4 linked regions of the Oryctolagus cuniculus genome follow. The protein of the gene in region 4 purifies or fractionates together with the protein of the main gene of each other region. This does not show direct contact. Links are inferred from orthologs where the notes say so. Each region holds a gene or a part of one and is shown on either strand. Other genes may lie near its edges.

Region 1 (4,712 bases), on a different chromosome or scaffold from region 4:
ACTATTTCCATTACACCGCTTCGTTTGGTCATTGGTAATAAAAAACAGAGTCAGATAATATAGGATCAACAGGTTAGTTTATCACTGGCTACTGCATAGGACCCCAAGTGTGCCAAGGTCAACATCTATGCAATATAGTTGTACTGGTTTGGATTTTCTTTATCTCTTTCCATGTAGTCCCGGTCAATTAAGGATTCTATTCTCTTCTTAAGATCAGCAGGCTGTTAAGAGAAGGCAAATTTTCAATGCAAAGTTTATGATCATTGGCTCAAACTCACTTACTAACATGCCCCATCAAAAAAAGAAAATTTTGGTTTATTGACTTAATATATGTAATCTTACCTGTTCATATTATTTAAATCTCTATTTTAGAGAAAAATATAATAAAAATCAGGTTAAGAAGTATTTTATACATATACTACAATGCTACACTTTTGCAACATTTTCTATTTTATTTTAAAGAAATCTTCCCAGAACCAGCTACTCCCTGCACAGTTAAATACAAAAGACTAAACATAACAGAATTTCACATGAGGAATACATTATAGCTTGAGAAATCAGAAATTTAGTTTTGCTGAGATAGTTTGAGAGGACAATCCACTTTTACTTTGGGCAAAAGCTAATTCTGCAAGTTAAGTTTAATTTTTATAAATTAACTTAAAATATGGGGGCCAGTGTTATGGTATGAGTTAAGCCACCATCAGCATCATATATGAGCACCAGTTTGAGGCAGCTGCAGCCATTTGGGGAGCGAATCAATGGATGGAAGATCTCTGAATCTCTCTGTAACTCTTTCAAATAAATAAAAATAAATCTTGACAGTTTGCCTTCATGACTGTATTCTTAGCTCTCAGATGACAAAATTCAACTATATGCTTGAGTGTATGTCTAGACTATAAAAAGTACAGGCATCCTTTGGTATCTGCAGGCATTGCTTCTAGGATCCTCCCTTGCCCTCATGCCAAAATCCAAGGATGCTCAAGCCCCTTATACAAAATGGTGTAATATATGCATATAACCCATGTACATCCTTCCATATACTTTAGAATCAACTCTAAATTACTTATTATATCTATTACAGTATAAATCCTAAGTAAATAACTGCTATTTTGCATTTTTTAGGGAATAATGACAAGAAATAAAGTCTGTACGTGTTCAGTACAGCCCCACTGCTTTCAAATATTTTTTTATTTATAGTTGGTTGAATATGCACATGTGAAATCCACAGATATGGAGGGGTCAACTGTATCATCTTGCCTACTAAATTTTTCATAATATGTAAAATGAAAGGGAAAGGAATCTGATAGGGCAGTCAAAACTTTAGTCATAATTTTTATCCAGTAATCTTAAAGTTCAATAAAATGATTTTCTCTTCATTATAATAAAAGACCTAGAATACCAGAACAGTCTTTTTAGGAAAGCAATCCCTTAACTTCCCTAGCATCAGTGATCTCTATGGCTAGAGGTGCAGTAATTGTTAGGCAGAGCATGAGGGTGACAGAGCTGTAATGAGGTGACAGTATCAGGCTTGGAAGAGAGAAAAAAAACCTCTTAATTAAAATAGCTACTGAGGGCTGATTATATGCTAGGTCCAGTTCTGAATTTTTCATATTCAGGATCTCATGAAAACCTCATAATTATATAAAGTAAGTACTACTATTAGCAACATTTTACAAAAGAGGAAACAAGCTCAGGTGAAGTGATATATCAAAGTCCAAAGTTTATAGAAATCCTAATAGCCAGGAGTCTATTAAAACTCTTATCAAGAGTTTATCAACACAAGGGTTTGGAAATATTCTGGAACTTACACAATATTCCAATACAATATCACCCTATATGTCTTCATTACTGGGCAGTTACCTTGGAATATGTCCATTAACCAACCAATTTCAGTTGACCAGAACTATCATTAAAATTTTCAAAACGATACCAGTCTGTACACAGTTCAGACACTTAATGTAACCTAACCAACAGATTTGACTCTATCTAAAATAATGACATCTGGCAAATATCAAGGTATTTCAAGGAGAAAAGAAATAAGAAAGAAGTTCAAATGAAAATAGTGAATGAAAAAAGTTTAAACAACTCATTTAGCAGTTAAACTTACAAGTTTGAGAGTTTTACTAAATTGTTGTCCCCTTTTTTCACAGTTGCCCCTATGCCAACAATTTTTTTCCTGAATCATATGCATCAGCATGGGAAATACTTTTGTTTCACCAAATGCTCTTGAGGCTTTCATCTATGCTTACAGGATTTGTGCCTGAAAATTTAATGTATCCTTTTATAAGAAGCTCAATATGAAAACACAGAATACCTACCTTTACTGGGAATTTCAATTGGTTGTACACTTCTGAAACAAGCAAATTGTGACTAAGTGTCTTTCTCATCTTCATAATTCGAACAATTGCAGCATCAATTTGATATTGTCTGTCTTGAAATACTCTTTCTGTAGTACTTGCTTGTTCCTCAACCTAACAAGAGGGTTTTAAATTTAAGAATTATACCTGAAGTGAAACATGATTACTTATACAAATTTGTACATTTTAGTGACATACCACTCACTGCTTTAAATATACTGAATTATCTAAATGGGACCTTACAGATGATGACAGAAAAAACCCTGCAAACATAGCTCCTTTCTAATTATATTGCCCTGTATCAATGAAGTAATGCCAACATTACTTAGCAGAAAATACTATCTTTGAACTACTTTTCTGGAAGTAAGGATGTTTGAGACAGAATTTACCATTTTCTTTGACTCTCTTCTAAATATGTCAGTTACAAGGGGTTGTTGACCAGATTTCTGTATAACAGTATCTCATCTATAAACTGACTGACTTCTGTCTCAAATCATGGTATTAAGTAGCTAAGTAAACTGGTTGGCATCAAGTTCTTTGACAATTAACTTTTATTTTGTAATATATAAACCAGAAATGCATGCCATTAATGCTTACATTCCTTTAAGACTAACAGAGATTTAAGTGTTTAGCAGTTTATCACACTTGATGCAAAATTAAAAATGACAACCTTTAGTAACTGAACCAAAAGTTTAGATTTTGTTGCAGCAGTTTCTTTCTAGTACAGCTTAATTTTTTTCATTTAAATTCAATCTAGGTCTCCCACATGGGTGGCAGGGACCTAACTCCCTGAGCCATCACCTGCTGCCTTCCACAGTGTGCATTAATAGGACACTGGAATCAGGAGCCAGGACCCAAACCCAGACACTCCCATATGGACTGTAGGTGTTCCAAGAAATGTTAACCACTGCACCAAATGCCAACTCCATAGCATAAATGTCTTAAAAAGTAAGGTTATGATAATCCTTTAAGGGAGTATCATTCCTCTGATGCCTATGTAAATGTAACAGGAACTTTTTTGAAGATACTTATCCTTGTCCCACATTAAAATTGTTTCTCAAATATTGCATTACACATTGTTGGAACTGAATAACTGGTTTCAGAATGCTACACTTGGTTTCCTTAATAAAAATCTCTTGCAAATTCAAATGCCAAAATAAAATATTCACCTCCACTGTCAATAAAACAAATACTAACTAAATCATTCAGATTTCTCACCAAGCAAATTGACAAATCTAAAGAAGAAAATTTAATCTTTAGTGTTGGGGAGGGCATAACAAGATAGACACTCATATGTTGCTGGTCCAAGTATAAATTGGTTTGGCCTTTCTGGAATACAATATGACCTTATGCACTAAGACTCTTAAAATATTCACACCCTTTGATCCAAAGAAATCGACTTCCATGGATTTATCATAAGGAAAGGATCAGAGAGATTAAGATTTAGGTACAAAGATGTTTCTTACAGCATTATTCATTCGTAATGCTAAAAAGTGATAAATTTAACTGCCAAATAATGAACAGTGGCCAGCCATGTCAAAGAGTATTTATTATAAAGCCAGTTGTGATTTCTTAAGGAATTTAATGGCACAGAAAAATTCTTAACAGGATATAAAACTGCTGAAAGCCTGAACCAATCATGTGCAGCCTCCAACAACAAAAAACCCAAAATTAAATACTGAAACATATTCAGCTAGATACAGGTACAGAAAATGTTAATGGTACTGCTAGTATTACTGGTATAAAATACTTTTTAGAGGTGGGCATTTATGCAGTAGTTTAAGTCAGTCACTACTTGGAACACCTGCACCCCATATAGGAGTGTCTGATTTGAGTATCGATTCATCCACTTTTGGATCCAGCCTCCTGCTATGTACCCTGAGAGGCAGCAGATGATGGCTCAAGTACTTGGGTACCTGCCAACCATATGGGAGATCCAGATTGGGTCCAGGCACTTGGCTTTGGCTTGGGATTGCCCTGGCTGTTGCAGGCATTTTAAGAGTGAACCAGCATTCCTCTGTCTCTCTACCTTTCAAATAAAATGAAAAAAAAAATTAAGTACAAGAAAAATTACATTTTAAAAAGAAAATATTCTTTATACATTTCCATCATGAACATGTGTAATTCCAATGAGTTAAGACTAAAAGAAAGTGAAAAATACCGTCTCTTTCATCTGGATTTGATTGATCTTTATCCTGAAAAGTTTGTGTTTGAAATCATCATTACAAATGAACTTGTCACCATCTTCTATATCTTTGCCCTTTGGATTTTTCGCCAGAACTCTAGCTTTTCCACAGGCTAATGACTGCAATGTTCTCCTTAACTCTCCATCCTCTGAAGAAGAAACAGCAGCTT
Region 2 (5,982 bases), on a different chromosome or scaffold from region 4:
AATAAGAAATCTCAAAATAGTACAGAACCTAGGTTATTTTAGTTACGATTTTACAGAACTTTCCAGAGATTTCCCTAAGCAATCTTATCAGGTCTTATCTGTGGCAGCATCACAGTTGACATTTCCGATGCTTTGGATTAGGTCTAGTGTTCTCTAAACAAGAGCAAGAATATTTAGAAAAGTCAAAAGGTTTTAGTAACTTATTTTGCTATTTTCCCTAATGAAATCAAAATGTGAGATCTGCTCGTTTTGTTAGTCCTAAGAAATATTTTTCCGAATTGTTCCCCATAGCTAGTGTCTAATCTTGATCATGTTTTCAGATGTGCAAGAGTGGTTTCTATATAATTTTCCTTACAGTGTGGCATTAAAGGGGCCTTGAGTTTAGTTTGTCCCTATGGAAATAAACATTCCTAACACTTTAGTAACCTTTTCTATGCTCCTAAAACAATTTGATTTGCTCTCACAGATTGGCAGTAGGTGGGTGAATAGGTAGACACAGATTTGTTCTTTAGAAATTTAATGACGGGGCATGGAGTGGAGGGGTTATATGTCTAAAACATCTAGTAATTACTTGTCTTTTTCAAAACTTCAGAAAAGGTCCCGGATGTGATACTTCTTATTCACCGTTTTACAGTAAATGATGTTCATAAGAGGATTTCTTTACCAGGATTTGAAACATTTCCAAGTGTGATGTACTTCATACCAATCTTTCTTAGACCAGTAGAGGGCAATAAATACTTAGAGGTTTAGTGAGAAATGCAGTCTATAATGTTCCACTCATAGTTTAGTGTTGAGGAAGATGAACAATTGCAGTTTTGGGACAATGTTCCAAATAAAGAAGACTGCTTATTTTGCAGAGGATTTTTTATGATGGCAGATATATATTATGTATGTCTGTTGATTCATACGCTGCTTTACTTTTATAGTAAAAATGTCTGATATGGAAAGTATGTAATAGGCAGGCATTTTCTTTGAAAGCTATAAATACAAAAATTTTCAGTTTTATTTTAGAAAAAGGAAGGTGTCTGTGGACTTATGGAAAGCAGAGAACCTTAGCAATTCATTCTCCTTGTTAAAAGTTGGAGTGACTTTTTTTTCCTGCCTGAATAAATCCTTAAATTCTCCAATAACAGATTTTTCTCTTATGTTTCCTGAGGCAGAGGCCTCAGGTTTTGACTTCTTAGGATAGAAAAACCTGTCAGGAGTGCATTGTGCTAGATTTTTATATAGATTATTATTACTTGCCCTTTTGCCATGGAGAGTGGGAAGTCTAAACCTGAAGCTAACCTAACATTGTGTTTTATAATTTATTTAACTAGCTATTCTATCATACAGTCTACATTAAGTGCTGGATATAAGAGCCCTCCATTTTAGTAAAGCTACTGTAACTCTTACTCAAATGGAACAAACGTTTGAGGATTTACTGTGTTCAGAGCACCATAGGTCTAGTGAGGAAAGAACAAGATGTGAAATTTACACTTAGGAAGCTTGAAATCTGAAGGGAAACAAATTTAATATATCAGTCCAATAGAAAATACCTACCTAGGGTAGCAAGAAAGGGTTTAATTTTTGTTTTATAAACAGATTGAACAGTGCGTGCATTCTTTTTCTTTAAGTATTTTTTCATCACTTAGTATAGTCATATCAAGCATGTAGGTTGAGTTTATAACACTGGGTATAATATAAAGCTGCTTTCTATTATTTTTGCCAGTATCCATTTATTTCCCTTGTTGAGTAAAATTTGACCATCTGCTTCAATGGTTAATATAGTGATAAAACTTTTTAGAATATATATACTATAAATAATGTACTTGTTTGAACACTAGGAATAAAAGAACCAGATAACTTTTTTATCCTCTTGCAGTGGCTGTTTTCAATGGACACCAAAACTCTACCTTTTATGTAAAATCCAGTCTCAGTCCAGATGACCAGTTTCTACTCAGTGGCTCCAGTGATGAAGCTGCCTACATCTGGAAGGTAAGTTGCCAGACTCCCCCTACAAATGCAAAACTGAAGTGTTCTTGGAAACATTTCTGCTGTCTGATACAAGGTACTTTTAATGTAAAATATGTACTATTAGCTTCTTCCACATCAGATGTAGGGATTGCTACTTGATAGCTGAAACGTCACTCTCTCAGAGACTGTATGATACTTTCATTTTCATGGCCAAGGTGTATCCCAAATTGATAATCCATATTCTCTGTTCTACATGTTACCAGGAAAATAATTGTAACTCTTAAAGTGACAACTCTGAACTAAGAAATATAAAGCTTTCAGTTTGAAGCCCTAGGGAGAAAATGTCCTGGGGGAAATATTTAAAAAAACGAAAGTGGTTTCTATATACGTAGAGTTGCAAAAATGCAACATGACCTTATTAAAAGCTTTCTTTCAGTGACAATATCCTAAATGATCACAAGGTGGAGATATTGTTCTAGCCTAGATGCTTTTATGTTGGGCCTGCCTGTTAACAGTGCTTGTCACTAGCACTAATGCTTCTGAGTTCTATACTAAATTTTGAATTTCAAATTGGTCTTATGCTTCTTATTTTGCTAATTTTTCGCTTTTCCTTTATCTTTCCCTCATTATCATACCTACATTCCATTCTTTACTTTAGCTTCCAACTTAACTAGAGAATTTTATTCCTATTACAAGTCTTTATCTTTTGAAATTTCTTGTTCTTTGAAACAATTTGAATTTCAGACATACCAAAAAGCATAATAGGGGATTGTGTAGAAAATACATATGTACTGGTAATTCTATAAAATCAAGTTACATCAGTTTTTAAAATTGTACATATGCATAATTACATATATATTTTGTGCACACACAAGGGTAGTTCAGAATGTTCATGGAAAATGCACATTATCTTTTAATTCCATTTTTCCACAAACTTCTTAAAGTACCCTCATATATATGTTGTGTATTATAAATACATACATATATGTATAGTTTTCTTCCCAATTCTTAAAATTTCTCTAGCATAAAAACCTTTTTAAAATTTTGTTTCAGGGAATGAGGGTTGAAGCTATACTTCTTCCCTTTGAAGACACTCACAAAAGATATTTGGCTGTTGTTTCTAACCCATATTCAAACATTTAGTCAGTGGCCACCATATACATGAGTGACCGTTTGAATTCCTAGGCTGGGTCACATGTCACAGCTGAATGACGTGGTTAGACATGATGTTCTCCTGCCTGTCCACACATAACTCAGTGTACAGGCCCTGATATTTGAGATCCTGGCAAGCTTACTGCTCCTAAAATTGAATTTGCCTAGTGAGGTTGCTCAGTTTTTCTTTTCCATGCTAAAAGGGGGGAGGAGAGGAGTTTTAAATTATAAGCAATTTGATACAAACTGATGATCCTTGCTGTTAGATTGTCTTACAACTTTGCTGCATGTTCAAGAAATTAAAATTCTTTTAAGCATTAGAATTTTTTCTGTGCTACCAAGTCCATGGGCATAAGAAAACAAGTGAAAGAAGGAAGGCGTGTATCTTAGGACAGGAAAGAATGGCCTTTTAATTCTTATTACAACTTCACTAGGGGGAGATGTAATAAATTTACATTCTCAGGTGCCAAGGCCCAATATTAAAAATACAAAGATTTAATATGCTTTTTAATTTCCTACCCATTGTCCCACACCCCACCCCCTTTTCCCTGGTTTGTTTCTAATGTAGCCAATGAATAGTACTGAAGTGGCTATAAATAAACTGATTTGGCACAGTCATTCTACCGCTGACTGGCGAAACACTGAGCCTGACACTTTAGGAAGTGTAAATGATCTCATGGCAAAAATAAAGATTAGATTTGGTTTCCAACTGGGCACAGTAAGAGGTTTTGTGAGGAAAAGTGCTGATCGTTTCTACATGTTTAAGTCTTTTTTTTTTTTTTGAGGTCTGTACATTAAGAGTCATTTACCTCTAGAGCTACCTTCATAGCTGTAACTTTGGGATTTCTTATGCCATGAGGTTTTTGTTCTATAAAAAGTAGAATATGTGAAAAAAGGACAGTTTTTCCTCTCCATCCTCCTAGTACATGGATGTCAGTTCCTGGGACTTCATAGTCTCCTTCCGTCTTAAGGAAAGGCGGGCTTTAAAGATGAAATCATGTATAATAACAAAGTGGCAGTAAATGAAAACTTAACAAATGAAAACAAAAGATTTAAAGTCCACCTGATTTTTATTAGAGGAAATTAATCTTTGAAGGAGTCGTGAAGTGCTATACCATAGGTTAGTCCTAAACTATCAAAGTGCCCATGAGTAAAATTCATAAAAACTTACTAGATAGGTTTTTCATGCCAACCTACAATTTTCTTCCCCCACTTTTTTCTTATTGATATAGAATTCATGTAACATCAGATTCGCCAGCCTACTCATTTTAAAACAGACAATTCAGACGTTTTTAGTATAATCAAGTATAATCATCAAGTGCAGCAATCACCACTCTGATTCCAACATTTATCACACAAGAAAAAAACCTCGTTCCCTTTAACAGTGACTCTCCATTCTCTTGCCCTCAACAACTGCTAACCTACATTCTATCTCTGATCTTGCCTGTTGCAGACATTTCATATAAATGGAATCATAAAATATGTGGCATTTTGTCTCTGACCTCTTTTGCTTAGCATAATGTTACCAAGTTTTACCCATGTTACAGAGTTATCAGTACTTCATTCCTTTTTATGGTTGAATAATATTCCATTGTGTAGATGGGTCACATTTTATGTATCTGTTCATCAGTTGGTGGACATTTTAATTGTTTCCACTTTTTGAATTGATAAATAAAAGTGCTGTGAGCATTTGTATATAAGTTTTTTGTATGGACATGTTTTCAGTTTTCGTGGGGACATATAGCTAACAGTACTATTGCTAGGCTGTATAGTAATTAATTCTGTGTAACTTTTTTAGGAGCCTTCTCTGTCACTTTTAAGGCTGAGTAAATTGCCCAGCTGGTAATATTCAATCAACAATTGGCTTTCATTATTATTATTAATAACTTATCAAATTATAAAAAAATTTTCCAAGTGTTTCTTTTTTCTCTAAAATCCCTATGGATTAATTGTTCATAGATTGTGTTGATGGACATATGATTTTTCTTGAAACATTTTATTTATTTATTTTTAAATGTATTTGAAAAGCAGAGTTACAGAGAGAGAGAAGGAGGGAGAGACAGAGATTGTCTACCCACTGGTTTACTCCCCAAACGGCCACAACAGCCAGAGCTGGGCAAGTCCAAACCCAGGAACCAGGAGCTTCTTCTGGGTCTCCCACATTGGTACAGTGGCCCAGGACTTGGGCCATTTTCTACTACTTTCCCTAGAGCATAAGCAGGGAGCTTAATCGTTTTGGGAGGTAGTACTTCTTGTACTTCTTTCTTTTTTCTTTTTTTTTTTTTTTTTTTTTTTTTGACAGGCAGAGTGGACAGTGAGAGAGAGGGACAGAGAGAAAGGTCTTCCTTTGCCGTTGGTTCACCCTCCAATGGCCGCCTTGGTCGGCGCGATGCAGCCGGTGCACCGCGCTGATCCGATGGCAGGAGCCAGGTATTTATCCTGGTCTCCCATGGGGTGCAGGGCCCAAGGACTTGGGCCATCCTCCACTGCCTTCCCTGGCTACAGCAGAGAGCTGGCCTGGAAGAGGGGCAACCGGGACAGAATCCAGCACCCCGACTGGGACTAGAACCCGGTGTGCCGGCGCCGCAAGGTGGAGGATTAGCCTAGTGAGCTGCGGCGCTGGCTGAGGTTGTACTTCTTACTGTGCTGATTCCTGCAAAGGGGATTGACATCTCTAGGGTGACTCAGCTGTACAACGCTGTGAAATGCATTTTACTGGTGTCATGTGGTGATGGGAAAGGCACATTCTTAGTCATATGTACAGGACAGCATGATGTGACCCTTCTTTATGAATTAAACTGTATTAAAATATCGTAAGACTTAACTTGAAAATTAAAAATTTTTAAGCAAATTAATTTAAAAAAATGTTCCACA
Region 3 (5,982 bases), on a different chromosome or scaffold from region 4:
ATCCACTCTGCCTGTCCAAAAAAAAAAAAAAAAAAAAAAAAAAAAAAAAAATTATATCTTTAGCAACTGATACTGCCTTTTTTAAAAAAAAAAGTTATGATAGCAAACAATATAACATTTACCGTCTTATGTATCTTCCATCCACTGGTTACTATATTACCTATTTTTAAGTGCAGTTTGGTAATTACTTATTTTATTTGAAAAGTGGAGCTACAGAGAGAGAGAGGGAGAGAGAGACACACACACAGATCTTCCATCCACTGGTTTGCTTTCCAGACGTCGACATGAGCTGGGGCTTGAGCAGGCCAGGTTGGGAGCCAGGGACACAATCCAGGTCTCCCATGTGGTGGCAGGAGCCCAGTTATTTGAGCCATCACCACTGTCTCCCAGTGTCCATATTAGGAAGCCGGAATCAGGAGCTGGGAGCCTGGAATTAAAGCCAGGCACTGCAGAGTGGAAATGCAGGCATCTCGGCTGTCATGTTACCCTCTGGGCTGAGGATCATTTTATTTGTGAGCTTTAGGAGATCTTTTATATGTTCAGAATATTACCTCTGAATCAAATATACAATTCTCGAGCCTTTTTTAGTTTCCCCCCTTCCATTCTGGATCTTTTCCATTGATGCCTGATTGATTTTTCCTATTTAACCAAACCTGGCATTATTGGAATGAACCCACTTGGTCATAGTGTGTTTATCCTTTTTAAATGTCACTGGATTGAATTTGCTGATATTTTATATAGGACATCTGTATTCTCTTCATATGTAAGAGTGGCCAGTACTTTGATATGTCCTTGTCAGATCTGGGTAACAAGGTTATACTGACATCATACACTTGGGAATTATGCCCTGTTTTCTAGTCTGTGGAGAGTTTAAGAGTGGTATCTCGGGGCCAGCGATGTGGCACAGCGTGTTAAAGCCGCCGCCTGCAGTGCCGGCATCCCATATGGGTGCTGGTTCAAGTTCCAGCTGCTCCTCTTCCAATCCAGCTCTTTGCTATGGCCTGGGAATGCAGTACAAGATGGCCCAAGTCCTTGGGCCCCTGTACCCACGTGGGAGACCCAGAGAAGGCTCCTGGTTCCTGGCTTCGGATCAGCGCAGCTCCAGCTGTTGTGGCCATCTGGGGAGTGAACCAGCGGATGGAAGACCTCTCTCTCTGTCTCTACCTCTCTCTGTAACTCTTTCAAATAAATAAAATAAATCTTAAAAAAAAAAAAAAAACTCGTTAAAAAAAAAAAGAGTGGTATCTCTTCCTCTTTTTCATCTTCTTCCTCCTCCCTTTCCTTCCTGAACAGTCGAAACCAGAAGTCATTAAATGGTAGACTCAAGCAGGACCAGTATTTACATAGTGGGGAGGCCTCGGTGGTCTGGTGGCAGCCGAGACGGACATCAGTGCGGGTGGTGGCAGGTGGCAGCTCAGCAAAGATTCAGGGCTCCCAGACTGGGTGACAGGTAGAGGGAAGGTGGTGGTGGACCGGCATGGAGTAGTGGAGGCTGATCCAGCGGCGAGAACAGATTGTCTTACAAGCAGCAAGTCTTGGTAGGCTGTGAGCACTGATGCCGATGGTGTTAGAGGGATGGAACCTGTTGACGTGGTTGTTGGATAGGAGACCTTGCCCAGGTCTATGAGGCCAGGGTAGCATAAAGAGGAGTGAAGGAGCTCTGAGAGAGTGAAGTGTTTAACAAAACAGTGTGTGGGATATAATAAGTACTTACTGTGGCCCAGCCATTGGTAGTGTGGTTGTTTTCGTCTTCCTTGTCTGCAAAAGCAGGAAGGGGGACGGATCTGACTCTTGCCCTCCTTATCCTGCCGCCAGTGCGAGCTGAAGCTCTTCCAGAAAGAGCGCGTGGGAGCGGCACCCTGGCACAGCCGTGCCGCACTGCGCTGCCTCAGCAACCAGTGGCAGGGGCTCCGAGGCCGCACACTATGCACGCATTTCTTTCTTTCTTTCTTTCTTTTCTTCAGATTTTATTTTTTATTTATTTGAAAGGCAGAGTTACAGAGAGAGGGGAGACAGATCCTTCCATTTGCTGGCTCCCTCCCCAAATGGCCACGATGGCCAGGGCTGGGCCAGGTGGAAGCCAGGAGCCAGTAGCTTCTCCCAGGTGTCCACATGGGTGCAGGGGCCCAGGCACTTGGGCCATCCTCTGCCGCTTCCCTGGGCGCATTAGCAGGGAGCTGGATCAGAAATAGAGCAGCCGGGTCTCGAACCGGCGTCCAGATGGGATGCCAGTGTTGCAGGCGGAGGCTCACCGTGCTATGCCACAACACCGACCCTGGGACTTGTCTGTGATATTCTGTGCAGGCAGCTCTAGTGTTGGGGAACAGATCAGTGGGTGCCAGAGGTTTTGGGGTGAGGGGGAGAGTGTGACTACAGTGGGAAAGCAGAGCACTAGGGAGTTTTGGGGGTGATAGTGTGTTCTACATCCTGATTTTGGTGTTGGTTATTCAAATCTGTACATGGGTTAAAATTCATAGATCTGTATACCAAAAGTAGTATTTATTGTGTGTGAATTTTAAAAAGCACACTGTGGAGACAGCACCTTGGGGTCTGGGTGTCGGGACCGACTGGCGTTTGTGTCAAAGCACAGTCCACGTGCCCAGGCCTGGTTCCTCGCTTCCGGCCCCTCATCACTCACTGGCTTTTTCCTTCCTCGTGTTAGATTGGAGCTGGAGGGAGCATCACTGGGCTGAAGTTTAACCTTCTCAATACCAACCAGTTTTTCGCCTCCTCAATGGAGGGAACAACTAGGCTGCAAGACTTTACAGGCAACACCCTCCGAGTTTTTACCAGCTCAGACACCTGCAAGTGAGTAGCCGAACTAGCATGGCAAGGGCTTCCAGCTCCAGGTGTAGTCCTGGCGAGAGCATCCTGACCCCGCTTCTGTTACCTGCACCTGGCCAGGAGGAACGAGAAGGCGTTCGCCACTTTCCACCCTTCCCTCCCTTTTTCAAACTCTGGCTACTCTGACTGCCGTCCAGGTGGGCTCCTGCTTTGGGAAGGTGTTCTGGAGCCTCGGCTCTTCTCGGCTTTTCTCTAAGTCACACCTGTGTTAGGCTCGACCTTGGCTCTCACGAGACAAGTCAACGTGGTGGTGGCCCAGGGTGGAGCAGGCACTTAGGACTTCAGACGCAATTCCTTCTGTTCGTTGGCGGGTGAGGAACTCACCAGTTCCTTGGTGGAAGCTTCAGTGGATCCAGTAGTGTCCAAAAAGTGCTCCGGGCTCCCCAAGAGCAAGGGGCTGGAGGAATTAAAAATGCAGGTCCCTCCGCGTTCTAGCCAGAGACCCAAGTCTACCTGCTCCCTAAGGAGTTAGGTGAGGGGCGGGGTCTGACAGCTAGCACTGGGTTTCCTGGGCTGCCCCACAGGGACAGGTGACTGGCTAGACTCAGCTCCATGTTGGTCTTCCACAAGAAACCCTCTCGCTTAAAGATCCTGAAGGGGAACGACCAAAAGGCAGACTAGCGTGGCTCTGAGGGTTTAGGGGAACAGATGTGCATCTGGGCTGCAGGTCGTGTGTGCTTTACCCTAACTGCTCAGAAGGGGGCAGACATTTCTTTCCGGCCAGCTCTGAGTAGCACAGCGGGGCAGTTTCTGCTTGGCGTGTCTTCTCCTTTAGCCCCAAGGTGGAGAGGGAAGGCAGAGAAAGGAGACCGAGGTTCTAGCAGCTGTGGGGCCCAGCTAGCCAGGAGGCTTGCCTTAGGGCCCGAGGTCTCACTGCGTCTGGGACTCTCCCTGGCTCAGGACGCTAGGCCCGGCAGAGACTGGACACATTTTGGAGCCCCCCTCACCCTCATTCCCTCTGTTTGGCTGGTAGACAAGACTGAGTGTTCTTCCTGGGAATCCATGGTAAGACAGATACTTCATTCATTCAACAAATATTTATTGAGCGCCTGCCGCGGGTTAGGCCCAGGAGCTGCAGCAGTGAGTTAAAGGACCTGTCTCTGGCCCCAGGAATCTCACAGTACAGTCTCTCCTTCCAGCGTGTGGTTTTGCAGCCTGGACGTGTCTGCCAGAAGCCGAGTGGTGGTCACAGGAGACAACATGGGGCATGTGTTCCTGCTGAACATGGACGGTAAAGAGGTGCGTGCTCTGAGCCCTGGGCGCGCCTTCCCTCCCCTCCCCCCACCTCAGTTCTCTGTCCCCAGCTGAGCCGGGCTCTCCTCTGCAGCTCTGGAATCTCCGAATGCACAAAAAGAAAGTGACCCATGTGGCTCTGAACCCGAGCTGCGATTGGTTACTGGCCACAGCCTCCGTAGACCAAACAGTGAAAATCTGGGACCTGCGCCAGGTTAGAGGGAAAGCCAGCTTCCTCTGCTCGCTGCCACACAAGCATCCTGTCAACTCAGGTGTGAACCCCACCTGTCTCAACACTCCGGGGCCTCCTGGGAAGTTTGGAAGCTGCTAGGCCGACCCTTTCTCCCCAGTGTCTCAGATCTCCTGTGGGCTACTGAGTTTCTAGAATTCTTCTGCTCACAGCCCTGGTTCACCTCTGCCCTTTCCCCCCATCTCAGAGGTGTCAGAGGGAGGGCGCCCCCGCGAGAAGCGGCCCGACGGGGGCGGGGCTTCCGGTTTCTGCAGCTTAGGTGCTTGTCACTTCCCCAGCCTGCTTCAGTCCTGACGGAGCCCGGCTCCTGACCACGGATCAGAAGAATGAGCTCCGGATTTACTCTGCCTCCCAGTGGGACTGCCCCGTGGGCCTCATCCTGCATCCTCACCGGCACTTCCAGCACCTCACTCCCATCAAGGTGAGTGACAGAGTGACGAGAACGCGCAGAGGGAGTGGAGAGCGTGGGGACGGACCAGGTCTGCCCAAGGTGGGGAGGGGGCAGGCGTGTGAGCCTGCAGCTCCAGACCTCTTCTTGCCCCAGCAGACAGTCTCTCAGCCTTTCGGCGCTCTCTGTTCCTTTTATGCCACGTTTGCAAGTCCAGTTGGTGGGGCCGTCTTTGTCTCTCTGAGAAGCTGTCTCCCTCAGGAGTTTCAGCCCAGCCCTGACCTGTGAGCATGTGCAGAATGCTGAGCTTCTGCCCTGCCCTCTCGGTTTCAGTTACCCGTGTGTGTGGGTCCACAAACTAACCTTCACCTTCTTAGTTTGTCTTGCAGGTTTAGGTGGCTTCTAATAATAGAAATAAGTCCCTTCCTTTCCCATTTTGGATCTCCGTTTCCTCATCTGTAAAAAGGGAATAATAGTATCTAACTGATAGGGTTGTTGTGAGGATGAATCAGTGTACTTAAAGCACTTGGCACCATGCCTAGCACCGGGTGAGTACTCAGAAAATGATGACCGCTTAGTACCGCACGTACCTCAAATCATATCCAAGCACCTACTAAGGAATCCCAAGAATCCTTCCTCAGCTGGTGTTCTTGTTAATCCATCTGTCCTGATCTGCCGCCTCGTATCCAGCCAGGCCAACCCGCCGTCTGTGATTAGTGGTACCATTTCTTCCTTCCTGCTAACCACATCTTTGCTCCTTCAAAACTTCCTTGAGAAATTGTATCAGGAAAATCCCATCCAATTTGTGATTTCTGGATGAGTGGGGTAGGCTGGGCTACTGGAGTTCCTTTCCTTTTTCAGTCTTGAGTGATTTTACACACAGCTCCTGATTATCCACGCTGACGGAGGGGTGGCAGTGGGGTTACTTCAGATTTCTGTCCTAAGTAGTTCTGATTACCACAGGCCGTTCACTTTGTTGTAGGCCTACCTGTTAACGCCTAGGCCAGGTTGATGTTGAAAGCGGCAGGAAGTGCAGGAGAGAAGGCCTCAAGGTGTCCAGGGGCCAGGGAGGCCAGCGGGGGATTAGAAGTCTGCAGTTGCACGTGGGTCGCAGCGCCTCTGTTGCGGTGTTGGCTTGTTAGCAGCAAAGAATGGTTTTGATGTCCCTCGAGGGCGTTCTGTGTTTATTCCCCTGACTAGCCTCTCCGTCTTACAGGCAAGCTGGCACCCTCGGTACAACCTCATTGTCGTGGGTCGGTACCCAGAT
Region 4 (6,692 bases):
AATCTTAAAAAGAAAAAAAAAAAGAACTATGACTGTTACAGATACCTTGCTAACTGTTAGGAACACACAGTATCACTATTTTGGAAACCAGTGTACACCATCATTCTTTAATATGGAATGCTTTGTACACAGCTCTTAAACCCTAAAATCGCTGATACAGTTCAAGAGTATTTCTTTCATAAAGCATATAGCTGGTAGAACTGTTTTGTTATGAGGATAAATATCCTGACACATTGTTACCCAATACAGCTAAGGGTAAGGCCAAGACTTGTTTCAGAAAGCAGTTCCATAGGAGTTGCTCCCTAAGGTGGCACTGGCTCAGTTACCACATTATTTCATGTCATCTCCACAATAAGCCCATATAGTTCAATGTTAAAGTAATGGCTCCCAGTGACTCATACCTTCCTCTGTCCGTGGCCCTTTACAATGTGAACTTTTGCTCTTAAAAAGGTAGTGGTATGGAGGCAGGTATTTAGCCCAATGGCAGAAGTCACAGCTTGGGAAGCCTGCAACCCATAGCAGAGTGCCTGGTGTGAGCCCTGAGTCCCAGCTACTCCACTTCCAACACAGTTTTCTGTTCCTGCACATCCTGAGAGGCAGCAGATGATGGCTCAAGTACTTGAGTCCCTGCCACCTATGTGGGAGACCTGACTGGAATTTTGGGCTCCTGACTTCGGCTTCAGTCTGGACCAGCCCTGGCTATTGCAGGCGTTTGGAAAGTGAATCAGCAAATAGAAACATAAGGGTTAAGCAACCTACAAAGCCAGCATTCCATATGGATAACAGTAGAGCACCAGCTGCTCCAATTCCAATGCAGCTCCCTGCTAATGCACCTGGGAAAACAGTGGAGGATGGCACAAGTCCTTGAGCCCCTATATCCACGTGGGAGACCTGGATGGAGGTCCTGGCTTCATCCTGGCCCAGCTCAGGCTGTTGTGGCCATTTGGGGAGTGAACCAGCGAATGGAGATCTCTCGAACTCTCTCTAACTCTGCCTCTCAAAAATAAATCTTTTTTTTTTTTTTTTTTTACAGGCAGAGTGGACAGTGAGAGAGAGAGACAGAGAGAAAGGTCTTCCTTTTCCGTTGGTTCACCCTCCAATGGCCGCTGCGGCGGCACACCGCGCTGATCCGAAGCCAGGAGCCAGATGCTTCTGGTCTCCCATGCGGGTGCAGGGCCCAAGCACTTGGGCCATCCTCCACTGCCTTTCTGGGCCACAGCAGAGAGCTGGACAAGAAGAAGAGCAACCGGGACAGAATCTGGCGCCCCGACCGGGACTAGAACCCAGTGTGCCGGTGCTGCAGGCGGAGGATTAGCCTATTGAGCCACAGCGCCGGCCAAAAATAAATCTTTAAAAAAAAAACTCTCTGTCTCTGCTTTTCAAATAAGATGAATATAAGTATATTAATCAATTAAGGGAAAAAAAGAGGTAGTGGTAGACTCCATTTCCCCTCCTTGGGAATGTAGACTGTCTTGTGACTTACTTTGACCAGTACTGCAAAACTACCCAGATAAGCCTTAAGATTTTATGGCTTCTATTCACAGCCTCTTCAAACACTCTCAGAGCCATAAAAGAAAGCCCTAAATTACTGACTGAGAGAATACGTGCAGAGAGCAAGATCTAGCCAACAGCCAGATATGTATGGGGCCAACCCCAGCTGAGCTGCCGGTTATGTCTAAGTCCAGACAAGACCAGCCAAACAGCCCAGTCAACACACAGAATCCTGAGAAGTAGTAAGTTGATTAACACCACTAACTTTTTCATTTGTTACTTGAAAACAGATAACTGAAGCACCTTATAAAACAGGTTCTGCTGTTTAGCTCCAGTTCTGAACTGAGGGAGCAAATACTGAGCGGAAGTTTCAGAACTACACAAGTGCTCAGAAAGCTCTACGTCTTCTAATAACTGCTGCACTTATTTTTAGTCAACAAAATAAAAACTAAAGCAAGCACAGGGGGAATTATAAGCTGCTTTACTTTCATCCAAATTTATAAAAATTACACGCAAAAGGGAATTAGTCATGAAGATGTATTCAGCTTATTACAACCCTTGGAAAAGTCCATGTGTATTTTTACTGATTACTTAAAAGTGGTAACAACAATTCGATGGCACTTTCTCTGTGTCAGGTACTGTTCTAGGTGATAAAAGTATAATAAGTAGATATGAAGGTACTTCAAAAGGCTCATGAAAAATAGAATTAAAAATACGAGTTTATCTGAGTGCAAAAATTTTTTTGAAATCCATGCAGTCTTGGGGCCTGCACTGTAGCATAGCAAATAAACCCGCTGCCTATAGTGCTGGCATCCCATGTGGGTGCTGGTTTGAGTCCTGGCTGCTCCACTTCTGATCCAGATTCCTGCTAATGCGCCTGGGAAAGCAGTAGAAGATGGCTCAAGTGCTTGGGCACCTGCCCCCCTGGGTGATGAAGTTCCTGGCTCCTGGCTTCAGAAAGGCCCAGCCCTGGCCATTGCGGCCACTTAAGGAGTGAACCAGCAGATGGAATATCTCTCTCCCTCTGTCTCTCCCTTTCTCTTTGTAACTGATTTCCAAATAAACAATTAAAGGAAAAAAAAAAAAAAAGAAATCCATGCAGTCTTTTCACAATAAACAGTTTCCACATACTAAAAAGTTCTTCTCTCAGGAACTTCTGCACCAAAATAAATCCATAATTTCATTTTCCCACAAATTCCATGTTCCCTCATATATGAGTATATGCACATATTCATTTTTGTCCTCAGGCAAACTCAAACAAGAATAAGTCCTTTTATTAGCCCCATTTCCCTCAGCGAGAAATGCAGCAAAGTAGGTAAAGCTGCGATATACAGCTGTCCTGCTCACCCACATAAGTTGATTACATTTACCACCAGAAAAAAAGGCAGCACAGCCTACAGTTAAAAAAAAAAAAAAAAAGTAGCAATGTCAATGCCTAGGTCAAAGCAGGTGATCTCAGCTGTCAGGATGTAAATATTTGGTTCGACTTGAGAAGCCTACTTTATATAAACAGAAAGCATGTTCCTTACAAACGAGCAGTGCTGTCAAATCTGCAAAGGCAGCGGAGGCGACAGGCGCCTACCTATCCCTAACACTGCTGAGCAATCGCCTGCGGGACAAGCACGGGTCACACATTCTAACAGGCGGTGAACCTATGTAGTCTACAAACACTTCGACGAAATGCCTACACAATCCAGATTCCTGCAAAGATCAATACTTAGGATGCTAAGCCACGATGGCAGAACACTCCGCCTTCCTCAGGCTGCTGGCGAGGAGAGCACCCAACACACATGGACCCAGCAAAGATGGTCTGAGTGGCTCCGGACCACAGGGCAGCGGCCATGCCTCCTCCGTCCCCGTGAACCCCGAGAGCCCATCTGCCCCGGAAAACTCCGCATCGAGACGCCAGCATAGAAATTTCCCTCATTCTAAAAGAGGGAAAGAGATCCAGAGCCAGCCCGGGGGGTGAGCGGCCAGGCCGCTACGGGAAAGAGCACCAGGGAAGCGTGCGGAGGCCCGGGGAGCAGTCGTCCCGCTGACCGCGCTTCCCGAATGCAGAGGGACCAGGAAGGACGCCACGGAGGACTGGACACGCTGACAGTCACCCCGCGCCCCTGGCCTCCTGAGCCTCTGCACAAGGTCCGGTCCCCGCAACACTCACCGCCCCAGCCGCTCTCAGGCCCGCCCCCTCGGTCGTCAGGCCTCGAACACGAGGGTGGCGGTCAGCCCAAGGAGAACTATGGCTTCCTTCCCCACTCTCTTCCCCACTCTCTTGCTCTCGGGAAACACTCACTTGCCCGCCAGATCTTTATGAGAGCCGCTCGAATTCATGAGCTGGGCCAAATCCTGTCGCACGGCTGCCGCCATCTTTCTTCCACCTCAGCCTTGGCTGAGGGGGCCCCTCACAGCCTCAAAGAAAACGAGTATGGTCCTCCGGAGTGGGGCCAGAGAGAACCAAGGATACCACAGAGTAGCCCCTACGCGGGCCAGAGCGTCAGTGGGTGGGGCGGGACCTGAGCTACCTCCGCCCTCCGGGTTGAATGACACGGCGCTTCACTCCTCACGTCCCAGGCCCGCCCTGGCCTCTCCCACAGGCGCTGGCTCTCACGCTCCGACTTGGGATTGGCTGATGAACTTGAAGGGAGTGTGTCGCTTGTGCAGCTCCAGTAAGGGCTCGGTACGTACAACTACTGCGTTTGCGCTAAGGTCCGTGTTTCACGTTTATGGTTTATTCTTCGTTCGTTAAGGCAGCGCTGAAACTACGTGTGGTAAAGGGCGAGTTTTTTGTTTATTTCCAATTCACCACAGACCAGTGCTTTTTAAAAATAAGATAAAAAATGTCCGCGTCCCACCCACCCCCACACACACACCAGGTATCTTTTTTAATGTTTGATCATACATCCCATGTGTCCAGGACAGTACCATTTTTAGTCTGGTGTCCTGAGGTATTTATTAACACCTCTTTTCATTCTAGAAACGACTCCATCTGAGTGACAAAGTATATGTTCACTCGCCCTTTATAGGTGATTGCATTCATCACTCATGTATCTTATATATGTGTGTATATATATTCTATATATATGTATTATATAAAACATGTATTATTATATATAATGTGTATTTTATATATATATATATATATATTCTATAAATCCCTAGAGAATTTCTGAAAGAAGTAGAAATCTGTGTATCTCCTTCCTTTTACAATGAGAAGCACATTGTTTCATTGTTCTGCTCTTGAATTTTTCACTTTTCCTGGCGATCTTACCATTTAAGTCCAGTCTTTTTTTTATTATTTTTGGACAGGCAGAGTGGACAGTGAGAGAGAGAGACAGAGAGAAAGGTCTTCCTTTGCCATTGGTTCATCCCCCCAATGGCCACTGTAGCTGGCGCGCTGCGGGCGCACCGCGCTGATCTGAAGCCAGGAGCCAGGTGCTTCTCCTGGTCTCCCATGCAAGTGCAGGGCCCAAGGACTTGGGCCATCCTCCACTGCACTCCCGGGCCACAACAGAGAGCTGGACTAGAAGTGGAGCAACCGGGACAGAATCTGGCGCCCCGACCAAGACTAGAACCTAGTGTGCCGGCGCCGCAGGCAGAGAATTAGCCTATTGAGCCATGGCGCTGGCCTAAGTCCCATCTTAAAAGTCATTCGTTTTAGAGGTGGAGAGTACTACCTAGTGAAGGTATGCCAAAATTTACTTAATCCTTATAGGACATTTAAGTCTAGGGAGTGAGACATTATAATTGTAGTTATTGTTATTGTTTTTAAGAAAGGGAGAGACACAGGGTAAACTCCCGTTTCCAGCCAAAGCCAGGAGCCAGGAACACAGTCCAGACTTTCCTGTATGGATGACAGGAACCCAACCACTTGAGACATCACTGCTGCCTCCCAGAGTCTGCATTGCCAGGAGCAGAGCATGGATGGAGCCCAGGCACTCCAGGATGGGATCTGAGCATCCTAACTGCCAGAACAAACAGCCACTCCTGCAATGAATAACTTTTCCTGTACATCATTTTATATAGAATTATGTACCAGCAAAACACATTCCCAGAAATGACTCAAAGGAGACATACTTAAAATTGTGATATATATTGTAAAGTTTCACTTGATAGGGATGCTATCATTTTGCCCTCCTACCAGAAGTATCTAAGAGTGCAATGTCTTACAGTCTTGCCTACAAAATTCAAACCTTTGAACTTTTTGCCATCTCGAGATGTGATAATTGGCATATTTCCTCTATTGCAAAGGAGAAAAAAAAAGTCCAGAATAAATTCCTTTTAAGAAAGTAAAGTGGAAATTGCCCACATCAATTCAGATCCCATTCCACTGGCAAGAATGCCTAATAATAGTGATTCTGGAAACTTAATTTCCCCTTGTGTTGCCTTGTGCTCACAAAGAAAAGGAAAGGGTGAACATAGTGGTACAAACAGTAGTTACTGCTATGATCTGTTCTGTTCACCTAAAAATCTTTGTGTCCTTCACAGGACAACATACTCCCTCCCTAAGGAAAGAGTTCAACTTCTCATTCAGTTGTGTCTAAGGACAATCTGGTTTAAACTAGATTTATTTGGCTTTATTTTCTTTCTCTTTTTAATTTTTTAAAAATTTATTTGACAGAGTTATAGACAGAGAAAGAGACAGAAAGGTCTTCCTTCCACTGGTTCACTCCCCAAATGGCCGCTACAGCCGGTGGCACTGCGCCAATCCGAAGCCAGGAGCCAGGTGCTTCTCCCAGGTCTCCCATGCGGGTGCAGGGCCCAAGCACTTGGGCCATCCTCCACTGCCCTCCCAGGCCACAGCAGAGAGCTGGACTGGAAGAGGAGCAACTGGGACAGAATCCGGTGCCCATATGGGATGCCGGCGCTGTAGGCAGAGGATTAACCAAGTGAGCCATGCATCGGCCCCTGGCTTTATTTTCAATTCCAGAATCAGGTAATACTGCACACCACAAAACAGAATATAGGGCCCAGCACAGTGGCAAAGAAGGTTAAGCCTCTACATGCAGTGCTGGCATCCCATATGGGTGCCGGTTCTAATCCTGGCTGCTCCTCTTCCAATCCAGCTCTCTGCTACAGCCTGAGAAAGCAGTAGAAGATGGCCCAAGTCCTTGGGCCTCTGCACCCAGGTGGGAGACCCAGAGGAAGCTTCTGCCAGGCCCAGCCCTGGCTGGTGTGGCCATTTGGGGAGTGAGCCAGCAGAT

Evidence for each region.
Region 1: the proteins of COPS4 (region 4) and CUL4B purify together in Homo sapiens (affinity purification with mass spectrometry; 9 studies listed by BioGRID and IntAct, with this or other methods). This does not show direct contact. The link is inferred for Oryctolagus cuniculus from reciprocal best matches to the Homo sapiens genes COPS4 and CUL4B.
Region 2: the proteins of COPS4 (region 4) and DTL purify together in Homo sapiens (affinity purification with mass spectrometry; 3 studies listed by BioGRID). This does not show direct contact. The link is inferred for Oryctolagus cuniculus from reciprocal best matches to the Homo sapiens genes COPS4 and DTL.
Region 3: the proteins of COPS4 (region 4) and DDB2 purify together in Homo sapiens (affinity purification with mass spectrometry; 7 studies listed by BioGRID and IntAct, counting the BioPlex papers as one, with this or other methods). This does not show direct contact. The link is inferred for Oryctolagus cuniculus from reciprocal best matches to the Homo sapiens genes COPS4 and DDB2.

The regions. Positions count from the first base shown.
Region 1 is NC_091453.1:98,256,371-98,261,082, forward strand, and holds part of CUL4B (cullin-4B), read right to left. Parts: intron 4,692-4,712; coding exon 4,519-4,691; intron 2,472-4,518; coding exon 2,319-2,471; intron 222-2,318; coding exon 126-221; 3' UTR 1-125.
Region 2 is NC_091444.1:26,582,768-26,588,749, forward strand, and holds part of DTL (denticleless protein homolog), read left to right. Parts: intron 1-1,864; coding exon 1,865-1,977; intron 1,978-5,982. UniProt on the Homo sapiens protein: Substrate-specific adapter of a DCX (DDB1-CUL4-X-box) E3 ubiquitin-protein ligase complex required for cell cycle control, DNA damage response and translesion DNA synthesis.
Region 3 is NC_091432.1:18,715,519-18,721,500, reverse strand, and holds part of DDB2 (DNA damage-binding protein 2), read left to right. Parts: intron 1-2,662; coding exon 2,663-2,808; intron 2,809-3,983; coding exon 3,984-4,083; intron 4,084-4,171; coding exon 4,172-4,349; intron 4,350-4,605; coding exon 4,606-4,748; intron 4,749-5,931; coding exon 5,932-5,982.
Region 4 is NC_091439.1:82,814,173-82,820,864, forward strand, and holds the start of COPS4 (COP9 signalosome complex subunit 4), read right to left. Parts: upstream 4,096-6,692; 5' UTR 3,859-4,095; coding exon 3,785-3,858; intron 1-3,784. UniProt on the Homo sapiens protein: Component of the COP9 signalosome complex (CSN), a complex involved in various cellular and developmental processes.